Linked DNA regions of Oryctolagus cuniculus. The protein of the gene in region 2 interacts with the protein of the main gene of each other region in a pairwise test. Links are inferred from orthologs where the notes say so. Each region holds a gene or a part of one and is shown on either strand. Other genes may lie near its edges.

The links.
Region 1: the proteins of UBE2D4 (region 2) and RFWD3 interact in a two-hybrid assay, tested with the Homo sapiens proteins (2 studies listed by BioGRID and IntAct). The link is inferred for Oryctolagus cuniculus from reciprocal best matches to the Homo sapiens genes UBE2D4 and RFWD3.
Region 3: the proteins of UBE2D4 (region 2) and RNF25 interact in binary tests that used the Homo sapiens proteins (3 or more experiments, as listed by UniProt). The link is inferred for Oryctolagus cuniculus from reciprocal best matches to the Homo sapiens genes UBE2D4 and RNF25.

The regions. Positions count from the first base shown.
Region 1 is NC_091449.1:57,218,310-57,222,846, forward strand, and holds part of RFWD3 (E3 ubiquitin-protein ligase RFWD3), read right to left. Parts: intron 4,351-4,537; coding exon 4,122-4,350; intron 1,196-4,121; coding exon 1,045-1,195; intron 1-1,044. UniProt on the Homo sapiens protein: E3 ubiquitin-protein ligase required for the repair of DNA interstrand cross-links (ICL) in response to DNA damage. Plays a key role in RPA-mediated DNA damage signaling and repair.
Region 2 is NC_091447.1:51,537,033-51,541,569, reverse strand, and holds part of UBE2D4 (ubiquitin-conjugating enzyme E2 D4), read right to left. Parts: intron 3,401-4,537; coding exon 3,369-3,400; intron 3,296-3,368; coding exon 3,218-3,295; intron 1-3,217. UniProt on the Homo sapiens protein: Accepts ubiquitin from the E1 complex and catalyzes its covalent attachment to other proteins. In vitro able to promote polyubiquitination using all 7 ubiquitin Lys residues, but may prefer 'Lys-11' and 'Lys-48'-linked polyubiquitination.
Region 3 is NC_091434.1:20,768,961-20,774,248, reverse strand, and holds the end of RNF25 (E3 ubiquitin-protein ligase RNF25), read right to left. Parts: intron 4,417-5,288; coding exon 4,342-4,416; intron 4,092-4,341; coding exon 3,989-4,091; intron 3,900-3,988; coding exon 3,832-3,899; intron 3,738-3,831; coding exon 3,668-3,737; intron 2,616-3,667; coding exon 2,526-2,615; intron 2,427-2,525; coding exon 2,289-2,426; intron 2,019-2,288; coding exon 1,926-2,018; intron 1,674-1,925; coding exon 1,539-1,673; intron 1,406-1,538; coding exon 830-1,405; 3' UTR 750-829; downstream 1-749. Other genes in the region: BCS1L (mitochondrial chaperone BCS1), read left to right, coding at 1-20, 125-374. UniProt on the Homo sapiens protein: E3 ubiquitin-protein ligase that plays a key role in the RNF14-RNF25 translation quality control pathway, a pathway that takes place when a ribosome has stalled during translation, and which promotes ubiquitination and degradation of translation factors on stalled ribosomes.

The sequences.
Region 1 (4,537 bases), on a different chromosome or scaffold from region 2:
TTTCAAAATAAATAAATCTTAAAAGAAAAAAAAAAGTGTTTTACAGTGCTCACAGAGCATGTAAAAGATAAATAATGGTACCCAAAGACAGCTAGAGCCTAGTCTTTTCTTTTTTAAAGAATTATTTATTTATTTGAAAGGTGGAGTTACAAAGAAGGAGAGATAGAGAGAGATCTTCTACCAGCTAATTCACTCCCCTAATAGCTGCAACAGCCAGGGCAGGGCCAGGCCAGGCCAGGCCAGGCCAAAGCTAGGAGCCAGGAGCTTCTGCTAGGTCTCCAGTAGGTACAGGGGCCCAGGCACTTGGACCATCCTCTGCTGCTTTCCCAGGTGCATTAGCAAAGAGCTGGATCAGAAGTGGAGCAGCCAGGACTGACTTGCACCCACTTGCGATGCCAGCACTACAGGCAGTACCTTAACCCACTGTGCCACAGCACCGGCCCCAAGCGAGTTGTTTAAATTTTTTTAATTTATTGTTTGAGAAAGAGAGGGGGATAGACGAGAGTGAAAGAGTATGAGCTTCCAACTGCTTGTTCACTCCGTAACTGCCCACAACAGCCACAGCTGGGCCAAGACAAAACAGGAAGCCAGGAACTCAATCCAGGTCTCTCATTTGAGGGGCAAGGGCTCAACTATTTGAGCCATCATTTGTTGCTTCCCAAGGTATGCATAAGCAAGAAGCCTCTCTGATACAGGATACAGGCGTTCAATCAGCAATTTGACTGCTAGGCCAAATGCCTGGTCCCAGTGAGCATTTTTGTTAGACACAATTATCCAAGTCACAGATTAAGTTGCAAGTTGATAGGGTAACTCCATAGTGTCAAGTGCCAAAGCCCCCCTCCATTGTTATTCTATCATTTGCATGGTTTAGGATATATTTTTGAACAAGCATAATCTTAAAGAAATGGAATACTACCTAAATACTTTTGTAAACTGCTATGTGCACTTTGAAAAGCATCACACAGGCCATCATAATACTGACAGCAATTCAATGCTGACGGCACTGAGCAGCCTAGGCTCCATTTTCTGTACTGAAACACTCACCTGGTCAATTTAACAGTGTTGTCCAGGGAAGCAGAGAGCAGCAAGCCTTTGGATCGGGGGTTGAAAGCCAATCCACGTATCTGTTTGCCATGCATTGGAATGTACTGACTACTTTTCATGTTGGCTGTACTCAGCATCCTAACACCAAAGCCTGATAAAGAAAAGACAATATGAAATAGATTGTTGAAAGCCAACGTAGGGCAAAGGATGTACCTGTCATAGTATGTAAACTCCCAGGAATCAGCGGATCAACGAAAGTAAGAATTCCTCAGTGTTATAATTTATTTTAAAAGGTATAATTTGGGGGCCGGCGCCGTGGCTCAATAGGCTAATCCTCCACCTTGCGGCGCTGGCACACCGGGTTCTAGTCCCGGTCGGGGCGCCGGATTCTGTCCCGGTTGCCCCTCTTCCAGGCCAGCTCTCTGCTATGGCCAGGGAGTGCAGTGGAGGATGGCCCAGGTGCTTGGGCCCTGCACCCCATAGGAGACCAGGAAAAGCACCTGGATCCTGGCTCCTGCCATCGGATCAGCGCGGTGCGCCGGCTGCAGCGGCGGCCATTGGAGGGTGAACCAACGGCAAAGGAAGACCTTTCTCTCTCTGTCTCTCTCTCTCACTGTCCACTCTGCCTGTCAAAAAAAAAAAAAAAAAAAAAAAAAAGGTATAATTTGGGGCCGGCGCTGTGGCTCACTTGGTTAATCCTCCGCCTGCGGCACTGACATCCCATATGGGCGCCGGGTTCTAGTCACGGTTGCTTCTCTTCCAGTCCAGCTCTCTGCTGTGGCCTGGGAGGGCAGTGGAGGATGGCCCAAGTGCTTGGGCCCCTGCACCCACATGGGAGACCAGGAAGAGGCACCTAGCTCCTGACTTCGGATCGGCGCAGCACCAGCCGTAGCGGCCATTTGGGGAGTGAACCAATGGAGGGAGGACCTTTCTCTCTCTCTCTCTCTCAGTCTATAACTCTACCTGTCAAATTTAAAAAAAAAAAAAAAGGTATAATCTATTCTAAATGTCCATCAATAGATGAATAAACAAACCTATTGTATATATACAAAGCAATGAACTCCCGATACACACAGTAATATGGACAAATCTCAAAAAACTAATTTCTTTCTAAGAAAAAAGCAAGGAAAATAGTAATACAGAGGACCAGCACCGTGGCAAGTTGGTAAAGCCTCTGCCTGCAGCACTGACATCCCATACAGATGCTGGTTCATGTCCCAGCTGCTCCACTTCAGATCCAGCTCCCTGCTGATGGCCTGGGAAAGCAGTGGATGATGGCCAAAGTACTTGGGCTCTGGCACCCAAGTGGAAGACCTGGAAGAAGCTCCTGGCTCCTGCCTTCGGAAAGGCCCAGCTCTGGCAGTTGTGGCCATTCAGGGAGTGAACCAGTGGATGAACGACCTCTCTGTCTGTAACTCTGCCTCTCAAATAAATAAATAAATCTTGAAATAAAAAAGTAATACAGAATCATTTCATTTGTATAAAATTCTAGAAAATGCAAACTAATTTATAATGATTAAAGGCAGATCAGTGGTTGCCTGGGAATGTATCAGTGTATAACATTCCTGGGAGGGAGATAATAAAATGTCCTTTATTGTTACTCTGTTCTCTCACCAGGCTGTAACAACACATTCTATTATTATCTGAGTTATATAAAAACAGAATCTGTCAACTTTTAGATTCAAGATAGCCTTGAATCTCACTTCAGCTATTACAGGGAACCAAGCAGGATGAAGTTTATTGTGTTGTCTCCTGGAACAGAATTAGGAAAGCCAGAGACAAACAAGGGAACCATAGGCTTTAAATCAACAAGGGAATCTGACCACCTACTTAGTTAATCATTAAGAAGAAAAAGGACACATTAGCACCAGCCTGCTATGAAGAAGTTTGCTCTAACAATGAGAATAGACACATTAAGAGAAAGGGATTGGGGACTATCAAAAGAAAAAGTATTTTCCAATTTATGGCAAACTTTTACTTGACGATAAATCTTCTTTATTGGGATATAAGGAATACCATAAACAATCCTTTTACTTTCCCTTAAAATGAGAGGCTATCAGGAGCATCCAACTCATAGCTTATCTCAACCAATACAGAAACACGTCAAATTAGGGATTCCATTCTCGAACTTGTTTATATCTAGATTTAGGGACAAAGCTTTTAAGTATTTGAATGGAACTTTAAAAATTATCTATTAATTTGAGAATCAAAGAGATACAGAGACAGAGCCCCCATCCACTGATTTAATCATCAAGTGTCTGCAGTAGCCTAGGTTGGGCTGGGGCAGAAAGTGGGAGCCAGGGACTCAATCCAAGTCTACACGGGAGGTGGGAGCAACCCATCACTTGAGACATCACCACTGTCTTCCAGGGTCTGCATTAGCAGTCAGGAGCCAAGGCCAGGAATCCAACTGTGAGATATGAGACAGGCTTTTAAACTGCTGGGCGAAATGTCCACTTGAGGGAAACTTCTAAGTGGGGAAACAGAATAAATCAGGCTGAAGTAAAGGGACTTTACAGTTGCTGCTGTTGTGGTGCAATGGGTTAAGCCGCTGCTTAGGACACCACCATCCCATATCAGAGTGCCAACTCAAGTTGCTTCACTACCAAAATGCAGCAGAAGATGGCCCAAGTACTTTACTTGGGTCCCTGTTACCCACATGGGAGACGTGAATGGAGTTCCAGGATCCTGGCTTCAGCCTGGCCTAGTCCTGAATGCTGTGGCCATTTGAGGAGTTAATGAGTGGATGGTATTTCTTTCCTTCTCTGTGACTCTGTAAGTTGAATGGAATATATAGAGAGTGATGGCCTTCTCCTCAGATTATTATAGGTGGCCGAGGCTTCTAATACCACATCTCCCACTTTACTATGATTATTAGTATTTCTACTCCTTTGGTGAACAAATTTACAGACTGAAGGCAGTAGACACTAAAGACTTCCTGATTAATAGGAAGCTGAAAGGAATGGGTAATTTGGTGGGCTGCTGAGTCCTAGAATCTTCAAAAAGGGAGAGGAGAAAAACAAGTGGAGTCCAACGATGAATGCGAAGGGTGAGGTCCTGGCATCTAGCATAGTTACCTGGAAGGAAGGAGGCTTGAGGAGAAGGCTGTGACACCACCAGGCAGCTAAGAGTTTCACAGTATTCCATGATCCGGCAGCTTCCTGTCTGAGACACTGGGAAGGTCTTCTGGAAGTGGTACTTGCGCTGGCCCTGGCTGGAAGACTGGCAGCTCAGGAACTGTGCTTGGGAGCCCCTGAGTCGCTGTAAAGTTTGTTCCTTATGCTGCATAATAAGACTTTGCAAATCCTAAAATGACAATGATTTTGTAAATGCCAGACTTTTTCATCTGATATTCTCTTCAAGCACAATTCCACAATCTAAGATTTCTTATCCATTATATGAAAATGTTAACATCAGTCCCACAAAATTGCTAAATTTATAAAAAGTCTTATAATGGTTATTTTGCTTGAAGCTTTCATTTTACAGGGGGCAT
Region 2 (4,537 bases):
CCATCCCCCTCCTGTGTGACCCCTGCTCACCCCCATCCCCCTCCTGTCTGACCCCTGCTCATCCCCCATCCCCCTCCTGTCTGACTCCTGCTCACTCCCATCCCCCTCCTGTGTGACTCCTGCTCATCCCCATCCCCCTCCTGTCTGACCCCTGCTCACCCCATCCCCCTCCTGTCTGACCCCTGCTCACCCCATCCCCCTCCTGTCTGACTCCTGCTCACCCCCATCCCCCTCCTGTGTGACTCCTGCTCATCCCCATCCCCCTCCTGTGTGACCCCTGCTCATCCCCATCCCCCTCCTGTCTGACTCCTGCTCACTCCCATCCCCCTCCTGTCTGACCCCTGCTCACCCCATCCCCCTCCTGTCTGACCCCTGCTCACCCCACATCCCCCTCCTGTCTGACTCCTGCTCACTCCCATCCCCCTCCTGTCTGACTCCTGCTCACTCCCATCCCCCTCCTGTGTGACTCCTGCTCATCCCCATCCCCCTCCTGTGTGACTCCTGCTCATCCCCATCCCCCTCCTGTCTGACCCCTGCTCACCCCATCCCCCTCCTGTCTGACCCCTGCTCACCCCATCCCCCTCCTGTCTGACCCCTGCTCACCCCATCCCCCTCCTGTCTGACCCCTGCTCATCCCCCATCCCCCTCCTGTCTGACCCCTGCTCACCCCCCCATCCCCCTCCTGCCTGACCCCTACTCACCCCCCATCCCCCTCCTGTCTGACCCCTGCTCACCCCAGCTCCCCCTCCTGTGTGACCTCTGACCCCTGCCTGACCCCTGCTCACCGTGCATGCTCCTACTGACTGCTTGAAGCTGCAGCTGCACTTTCTCAGACAACCTCCTTGCCCCCCGACTCCGTGCTGTATGGGGCTGTGAGCCCTGGCTGGGCTGCTGCGGGGTTTGTGGGTCATCCCCACGCTGTCAGGGCAGCTCTGCCTGTCCCCGAGCGGGACCAGAGTCCACTCCGCAGCGGGCAACACTGCCCCACGTGGGAGGACGGGCGCCTGCCGTGCCGTCACGCACAATTTCCGAGTGCCCGGCCAGTTCTTTAGGCTGCACACGCGTGTGATTTTCGGAGAGCGTCTTCTTCAGACCGCAGGCAGAGGGGCCGTGCGCGCCTGCCCTGCACGCGCCCACGCCCATGGGGTCCCTGGGCCGGGCCTGCTTCCAGAAGGCCTCCGACACAAGAATCTGCCTCACTGTGTCCACAAGGACGACCACCGTGGCAGGGAAACGCCTGCCACACACAAGTCCAGCTTGTCTCGTGCCCCTGTGCAAGGACAGTGTCAGAGACAGAAGCGCTGCTTTCTCTGGTGGAATCTCACCTCGCAGGTCGCGTTTCTCCTCGTCAAAATAACCCCGCCCCCTAGCAGCAGCTGCCTGGGCCATCAGGGGTCCTGAGATGCCCAAGAGGACCAGGCGCGTGTCCGCTGAGCCCGAGGAAGCTGGAGGGAGCTGAGCTGGAGAGCCCACAGGGGAGGGCAGGGCCAGAGGCTGCGGGGGCTGCGGGAGCAGCAGACAGAGCGCCTGGCTCTACCTGGCCACACGGCCACTCCCCTGCCAGGGCTCAGGGACCCTGGGCACATTCGACATGATTCAGAGCACCAGGGCCAGACGCCGGCCACACAACAGAGGCTCGAGGTCAGACTGACCGGGGCCTTCGAGACCAGCTGAGAAAGGGCTGCACGGCGGCCTCCCGCCCCAGGCTGCACCGCCCTGACCATGCGCAGACCCGAGAAAACGTCACAGAAACCCCAAGTGAGGGCCTGACGCCGTGACAGAGCCACACCCCTCAACACCACCAGGGCAACCGAGGCCCCAGCGCGGACGGCGGCAGTGACCGCCGGTCACCAGGAGCCGGGCGCCGCGGCCCTCGGAGGACGCCGGCTGCAAGGCTCTCGGCTCGGGGCAGGGCAGTGACGCGGGCGCTGGCAACGGCGGAGGCGGGCGAGGGGTTCACGGAAGCCCCTTGTACTATTTCTGCAACTTGTTTCTAAGCTAAAATCAGTCCACAACACAGCTCTAAAGGCGGCGTGCCGGGGGTCCACCCTCAGCGACGGGCCCGTCACCTCAGGAAACGATGCGTCCTTTCCGAGCCTTAGTTCCCGCATTTTGGAGATGAGACCGAAGGCGTGCACTGGCGGACACAGGGAAGACCCGGAGGAGCCTGTGGGGCTGCCAGCTGGGCCCTGCTGGGTCTACAGCAGACGGCCCTCCGTGTGCCCACCGCTAGGTCTCTAGCTCACAAATAAGCCTGCACCACCGCTGAACCAGAAACAGGGAAGAGCAGTAAAGGGGCCGTGAACCTGGGTTCCACCTCCCAGCAGCCGGGGCCTCCTCTTCCCGCCCCACACTCCACCCTCCTCTGGAGTCACAGGTCGGCCCCTCAGCTGACACCCACTCCAGGGCTGCAGCAGTCTGGCCCCTCCCACCCCAGACCACTTGCACACAAAGGCTGCTGGGCTCCGGCCTGTGCTGCTCCTAGGCACGACATCCCTGTTTGCTCCACAGGGCTCTGAGCCTCAGTGCACGGGGCAGCTGGTCCAGCAGGCACAGTCCAGGGGGCTGGTCTCTGCAGCTCCCCCATGCCACGGGGTGTGCGCATGAGCGGCACCTTAATAAACAGAACCCATCTGCAGAGTCCCGGGCCAGGCGTCTCCACCTTGGCCCTTGACTCCTGGGCTGGAACGTTCTCTGCTGTGGGAGGGGGCTGTCCCGGAGCAGCACCCCTGGCTCTTACCCACTAGACACTAGCAGCAAGCCCCGCCCTCCACAGCAAGTCTGGTGAGCCGAAGTATCCCAGCATTTGTCCACACGCGCGTTCCGGGCAAATCGTCTTAGCTGACAGCCTGGTCTTGGGCTGGAAGGCACTGCAGGGGGAGCCGGTGCCTGGAGGCACGACCAGGTGTCACAGCAGCTGCGGCAGCCGCAGGAGCGCGACTTCCCAGGAGCCCTTCCCCACCCTGACCCCTCTCGCTCTGCGAGTCCAGGTCTGGCATCCCAGGAGCCCTTCCCCACCCTGACCCCTCTCGCTCTGCGAGTCCAGGTCTGGCATCCCAGGAGCCCTTCCCCACCCTGACCCCTCTTGTTCTGCGAGTCCAGGTCTGGCGTCCCGGGAGCCCTTCCCCACCCTGACCCCTCTCGCTCTGCGAGTCCAGGTCTGGCGTCCCGGGAGCCGCGGCTCTCAGCTCTCTTCACTGGGTGCTGCGCTGCTCACCTTCGGGGGCTTGAAAGGGTAGTCCGTAGGGAAGTGGATGGTCAGGAAGAAAAGCCCTCCTTGGTAGGGACTGTCCGTCTGCAAGGAGACACAGGGAGATCAGTGGCCACGCCACGCACAAGGACGAGGCGCAAACTGGAGCTCAACGTACCGGGCCCATGATGGTGGCCTGCCAGTGGAACACTGCAAGACAAAAGAGAGACGGCACGTGAGGCCCAGCTGGCAAGTGGGCTCTACCGCCAGGCCCGCCCTCACTTCCGACGCCAGGCAGGAGTGGGGTTCCCTGAACCACCCGTGGGACCAGTCACTCACTCGACCTCCCCGAGCTGACAGCGGCTGCGCTCACCCCGGGCTCACTACAGGGAACGACGCAGAGGAGCATGGGGGGGCCAGCTGCACAGCCTGCGTCACCTTCGGCCCGTGAGGCCAAACTGCTGACACCGACAAGCAGGGCCACTCGCGCTGACCGCCGAGTGCAGGCCCTCCATGGACCAGGCCATCGCCACAGGCCACACGCTGGCCCGTCTACCCTAAGTCTCCCCGCTGGTGGGGGCCGAGGTCCCAGGCAGCCAGACGCTGCTGTCAGGAGAAGCCTCTCGGAGCCACGCCCAGAGTCTGAGGACGCTCGGCCCCTCTGCAGGGCACCGAAGCCTCAGCCACTCTGCACGCGGCTCGACAACCCCTTCCCTCCCCTGGCTTCACTCGGTTCACTCGAAGCCCCCTCCCAGGAGTCCCTCTCAGGATCTGACTGCCCATGGCCATGGGGCCTCCCAGGGCCACCCCGCCTGCGTCCTCTCTGGCTCACCCGGACTCGGGGACCAGGCGAGAGGAGACCTCTCCCTGCAGCAGCCAGGCTGGGCTCCCCCACGGGTCAGAGCCTTCTGGGCATGACACCTCCCGCTCCTCCGCGGGGTCTCGGGTCGGCACTGCTCTGCCCAGCCCAGAGCAGCTCCCGTGCGCTCCCTGGCTCCCACGTCTGAGAGTCCCGGGCAGTGGGTCCACAGCCTCTGGGGAAATGCTTCTCACTGGACTCAGGACGGGCGTGGAATCGGCGCGAGGCTTCAGGCTTATTGTGGCCTGGGCTTCCCATCACCAATTCAAATACCCGACCAGCTCCACCCGTGACAGCGGGACCAGGAGGGCGCTGGGGCGTGGGGTGAGGTCACAGGTCACAGCGCTGGGACTAAACAGAAGTTCCCGGCCCAGAGAAACGTGGCGGCAGAGAAGGCCCCTGTGCACTAAGGCCACCTGAGTGACGACTTCTGTCCTCGACGGCCGTGACAGGGCTTTGACAGCCGCCCTGTGTCAGAACAGGAGCCC
Region 3 (5,288 bases), on a different chromosome or scaffold from region 2:
ACCACCAACCACGTTGACAGGTGAGGGGAGGGGGCACCACCCCGAGTGCCTCAGGAGGGTCGGGAAGGCGAGTTTTTTTTCCGATGCAGCAGCCTATGACTCTGCTTCCCCTGCCTCCTCCTAGACTGGACCCTGCCCTCATCCGCCCTGGACGAGTCGACCTGAAGGAGTACGTGGGCTACTGCTCACACTGGCAGCTGACCCAGATGTTCCAGAGGTTCTATCCAGGGCAAGCACCTTCCTTGGCCGAGACCTTTGCAGAACGTGTCCTTAAGGCTACAAACGAGATCAGCCCTGCCCAGGTACAAGGCTACTTCATGCTGCATAAAAACGATCCTACAGGGGCGATCCACAACACTGAGACCCTGAGGTGACTGAGAGGCGGTGTGCAGCTCTGCCCAGCCAGGACTCCAATAAACACGGCCCACACTCCCCTGGTCTCTGAGCTCCCTTGCTTCCTCCCTGGACTGTGCCTGCTAGAGCAGGGGCTGCGATCGCAGGGCCCGCAGGGTCAGGCCACCACGGAGACAGATGATGGGGACACGTGCCTCCACCTAAAGGCATCCAAACTAAGTACATGTGTGATGTGCGTACCTATGCAGTGAGTTACATGTCAGGGTGGTCTCTGCCCAAGTGTTGACATCTCGCTAGTGGGCAGAGAACAGACTTCGAGCCAAGTTGGGGGCCACCCTGCCACAGCCCAGTCTTGTTAGGAATTTACAAAGAGCCATACTCCACAGGCTAGGCACTGCTGAGCAAAGAAAGCCAAACAAGGCCAAGTCTCTTTATTGCCCCCCCCTCCCGTGCCCCCTGCCCCCACCCAGTAGCGCTAGGACCCATCCTCAGATTCCAGGCCCACAGGTTCCCGCCGAGTGCCAGCACAGTACGCTCCCTGGCCCCGAGGCAGGCGGGGGTACGAAGAGCCTGGTGTCCGACCTCTAGAGCGCTCCCAGCGGGCACAGTCCCGAGTCCTGCGGGACGGGGGCCCCTGCCAGCTGCCAGGCCCCTTCTCTTGGGGAGGACCTTCGACCCCTGGGCTGTGGGGCTCCGGCTTTAAATCCGTGGGTTCCTTGAGGGCTCCCTCAGGGAGTGGCAGTTCCTGGGCGTCTCTGGTCCCCTTGGGGGCTCGGCACTCCCCTCCCTTCAGGTGCTTCCGATTCGACTGTCGCCAGGGGCCCCGACTGGGCCGGGGGGTATCTAGCATAGCTTTTTGGGTCTCACCCAATCTCTGGTTCGGCCTGGCCCCGGAAATCTTTTCACACACGTGCTGGGTGGCCCCCGGCAGAGGACTTGGCAGGGTGGGCTGGGCAGCTGGTGAGGCAGACTGGTCTGCGGCAGGGGCCCCGGGGAGGTGCGGTCCTCTGGAGACCTCTCCAGTTGACTCTGGCTCCAAAGGGGCAGGAGGCTGGAGAGGGGGGAGGAGATGCAGGACTGCAGGCCCCCTCGGCCATCGCCACCCTCCATCAGCTGATGGCCGCCTGTGCTCTCGGCCACCGCTCACCCCAGGGCCGCGGCAGAGGGGGACAGCCTGCTCTCACCTGCTGAAGGCTGATGAAGTACCGGTTCCGCTCCGCCTCCAGGTCAATGATGCCCCCCCGCGCCTGCTGCCGCTGGTAGAGCCGCTTGAGCTCCTCTTGCTGCAGCAAGCTCTCCGCGCTGGGCTGGTACAGCTCCTGGAAGGACACAGGAGACTGGCAGGAGACAGCGGGCACAGGGCGGCGGACTCCCGCCCCTTCCTGTCTAACCGCCTCAGGACACCCGTGCCGGGTCTTGGTTTTGGCCCCCCAGAGGCAGGATCCCAGGAGGGCCTTGGGCAGCTCAAGCTCCATTCCAGGCACTGTGTGCACTTGAGGTGAGATGCCCTTCCCCCCCCCCGTCAGAGGACACCCTCACTCCCGGCTCAGAGTAGCAGGACATGCTCTCACCAGCGGCTGCTGGGGCTCAGGGGCTGCCTGCAGTGAAGCCAGATCGTACACAAGAGGCTCTCTGCACACGGGGCACTGCACACCGAGCGCCGTCTAAGAAAGAGGAGAAATCACAGGTCTGCTTCGTGGTCCAGAGCACAGGGCTGGCACAGAGCCGCAGCTGCCTATCGAGAGGCCTGGGCACCCCCTGCAACTGCATGTCATACGGATGTGGCTTTGGGGACAAAGAGAGGAGATTTCATTCACCTCAGGGGTCCCTGGGACCCTAGAAAGGGGAAGAGCCCCTGCAGTGGGGGGACAGGAAGGACTGGACATCCACAAGTGAGGATGTCAAGCGAGACAAGGGGGGGGGGTGACACCTACCTGCTTGGCTGCAGCATGCTGCCGCTCCTGCTCCTGGCCTTGCGCCTTCAGCTCTTGCTCCATGTGCTGGATGTAGCGAGCCAGGCAGTGGCAGTGGAAGTAGTGGTAACAGGCTGTTTTGGTAAAGGCCTCCTTCTCCTGGAGGGGGGAGGAACGGGGGGCACCGCATCAGTGCACTCTCACGTGCCCTCGTCTGCCGGGCCCCAAGAGATCCCAGGTCCCCACTGAGAAACGCACCTGGAAACCATAGAGACAGATGACACACTGGCCATGGGGGATGTTGTTATCTGTGAGGATTTCCTTGCCTTTCTGAGGGGAGAGAAGACACTGCTGAGACAGTGAGGTGTGGACTCGCACCGGGAGCCGGGCCTGTCCACCGCTGCAGGAGCCCTGGCTGGACTCGGCACCCACCGAGCCAGCTTGTTCCCTCATGTTCGTGCACTTCTGTCTTGGTGATGTTCCCTCGACTAGGAATCAGTCCTGTCCCATGTCCCAGCTCGTCCCCCCAGATTTCCCCTTCCTGGCTTTCAAAATCCAACTTAAAATTGTTTTCCCTCTCATGAAGTCACTTTTATTAAATCTTGGGGGTGAAAATAATAGACATTGGAGAGAGAAAATGTCCAGTTTAAACTCCTTTTCTGGGGTGGGGTCTTTCTTGATGAACCCCCTTTGGGCTCCAGTCCCCCATGGGGCGGTGACTTTGCTCTGGAGAATTTAAAAGGCATCAGGTTGGGCTGTGAAATACACATTTCATAGCCAACATGCTGGCATTCCACCAAGTTCAAAGCTGCATTGTGGACGCTTGACCTAGCAGTGCTGCAGTGGTCTAATAAGCCTACTTGCTCTGACTCCAGCCACCCTCCTAACTTCGACAGTAGAAGAGAACAAGGCTGTACTTGCATGTTTGAAATCTGAAGCAGAATTTTTCTATGTAACTCTGGGTGCGCGGGTTCCTCCTTAACCAGGATATAAAGCCCTATCTCCGCCATGACTGCTTCTGGTCGGTTCTGCCGCCAGGCTAGCCTTCAGGTGTTCATTTATGGGTCAGGCTGCCTCGGCCCAGCAAGGTCCCTGTCTTCCGCCACTTGCGGTCGCCAGTGTCAAGAGAACAAGAAACACGCTAACACTGGAGTAAAATGCAAGTTACAGAGGAGAGAACGTTTTCTGTTGAGATGCTGGAATGGGCAACTTGAGTTACTGTTTTCTGGGGAGATTTTACTTCTTTAAATGAAAGAGTTCCATATTTCTGGGCTAATTTAGGCCTCACCTTCAACAAGGACTACATGAATGACTCCAGATGTATTTTAAGATTCTAGGCCTACGGCTTCCCTCGAGAGAAACTGGGCTAGCTTAAAGGGAAAGACCAGCGTACCTCTTACCTCAATGAGCTCATAGAGCATGGCAGTGCCCAGCCCGGCCTTGGCCACGCTGCCCAGTGCCTGTGAGATCCTGCAAGAAGAGGGCAAAGCCAGTATTCAGCCTGCCTCCCTCCCCGGGCAGAGCTGTGTATCAAGGTGTCCCTCCTCTGACCGGCCGAACTTACTTGTGGATCTGTTCATCTGAGAGCCCTCGGGGGTTACGGATAGAGATCTCTGGCACTTCATAGGGATACTAGTGGGGAAAAGAACAAATTACCGCTGACGTGATCCACCCGGCAACTCTCCCTTTCCTCCCCTTGCTGCTGTGCGGTCGGGGCCCACCTGTGCCGGCACGCGCAGCACCAGCGTGAGGCAGACGTATTGTGAGTCTTGGTCCTCTGCGGTGGCAGGGTGCAGCGTGATGAGGATCTCCCATGGTGAGGATCTGCAGGTGGAAGAGGTGGAGACCCAGGGTGTGACTGGGCAGGGGCTCCAGGACTTGGGAAGATAGGGGTGAGACAGAAAAGTGGGCAGCGGCAGTAAACATTGAGCTTTCTTTCTGGAGGATTGAAGGAATAGCCTTTGTCTACACAAAGGAAACCTTTGAATAGGGGCTCAGTGTCTTGGGAACAGAAGCTGCACAGAATCCTGCCATTACTGAGTGGACTGCTGCCCACCCCTAGTTGAATACATACCTGCCACTTCCTTTAATCACTTGTAGTTCATCCAGATAGATAGATTCTAACACTTCGACTTCAGAGGGAAGGACCCTAGAGAGACAGGGAGAGACTGACTCACCATTAGAGCTCTCCCCGCTGAAGCCAGCTAAGGCCGATGAAGGCTGGCTTCGTAGGAAAACGGCCATCTGCCTGGATGTATTCTCTGGCTAAACTTATTTAAAATGAGAGAAATCTGTTTCCGGAGTTGGCAAGTGGCCAAGTTGGAAGCATGGGGATTTTACAGGTCATTTCTGCCAACAGACAAGGAAACAGATTTCTAGAAGTGAAATGACTAACCAAGGCTTAACAGCTGGGACACGAGCCAGGTTTCCTGATTCTGTTTCACTCTATGGTTGGTTATCCCTTGTTGACCATCTCTCTGGTCCAGAAACAGGGCATCCATCCATGGGCATCAGCTTTCCACTGCTGCTCCTGTCTTTTCCTTTGGCACTGTTGAGCATGGATCCAAGTGCCTGGCTACTGTCTATACACTGCCAACACCATTCTTGCCAAGCCTTCTCCAGGAGATACCACTCCTAACAGAAATCCAGGTAGTGTACAGCTGTGTCGCAGCAGAGCCATCAGCCTTAGCTAACAGGTACCAACTGCTTACCAGCTACGTGGTCTGAGTAGTCACTTAACCTCAGTAAGCCTGAGTTCCCAATCTACCACGTGCCGCTAAAGTCACCTACTTTCTCGGGTGACTCTGAGGATTAAAGGTGATGTGTTTATGTAAAATACCTAAGAGGATCTGGGCCACAGAAGCTAGTCTATGTTCTCTTTTTCCCTGCTTGCATTAATCTTCCCTTTAACAGCAAAGAGGGAAGGATGTGGTTAGCAGAGTACTCCGGATCTAATTATGATCCTGGCTGGCTGGTTGATCTAGATCAGCCTGTCCAGGTGAGGACCCATGGTCCTGGTGT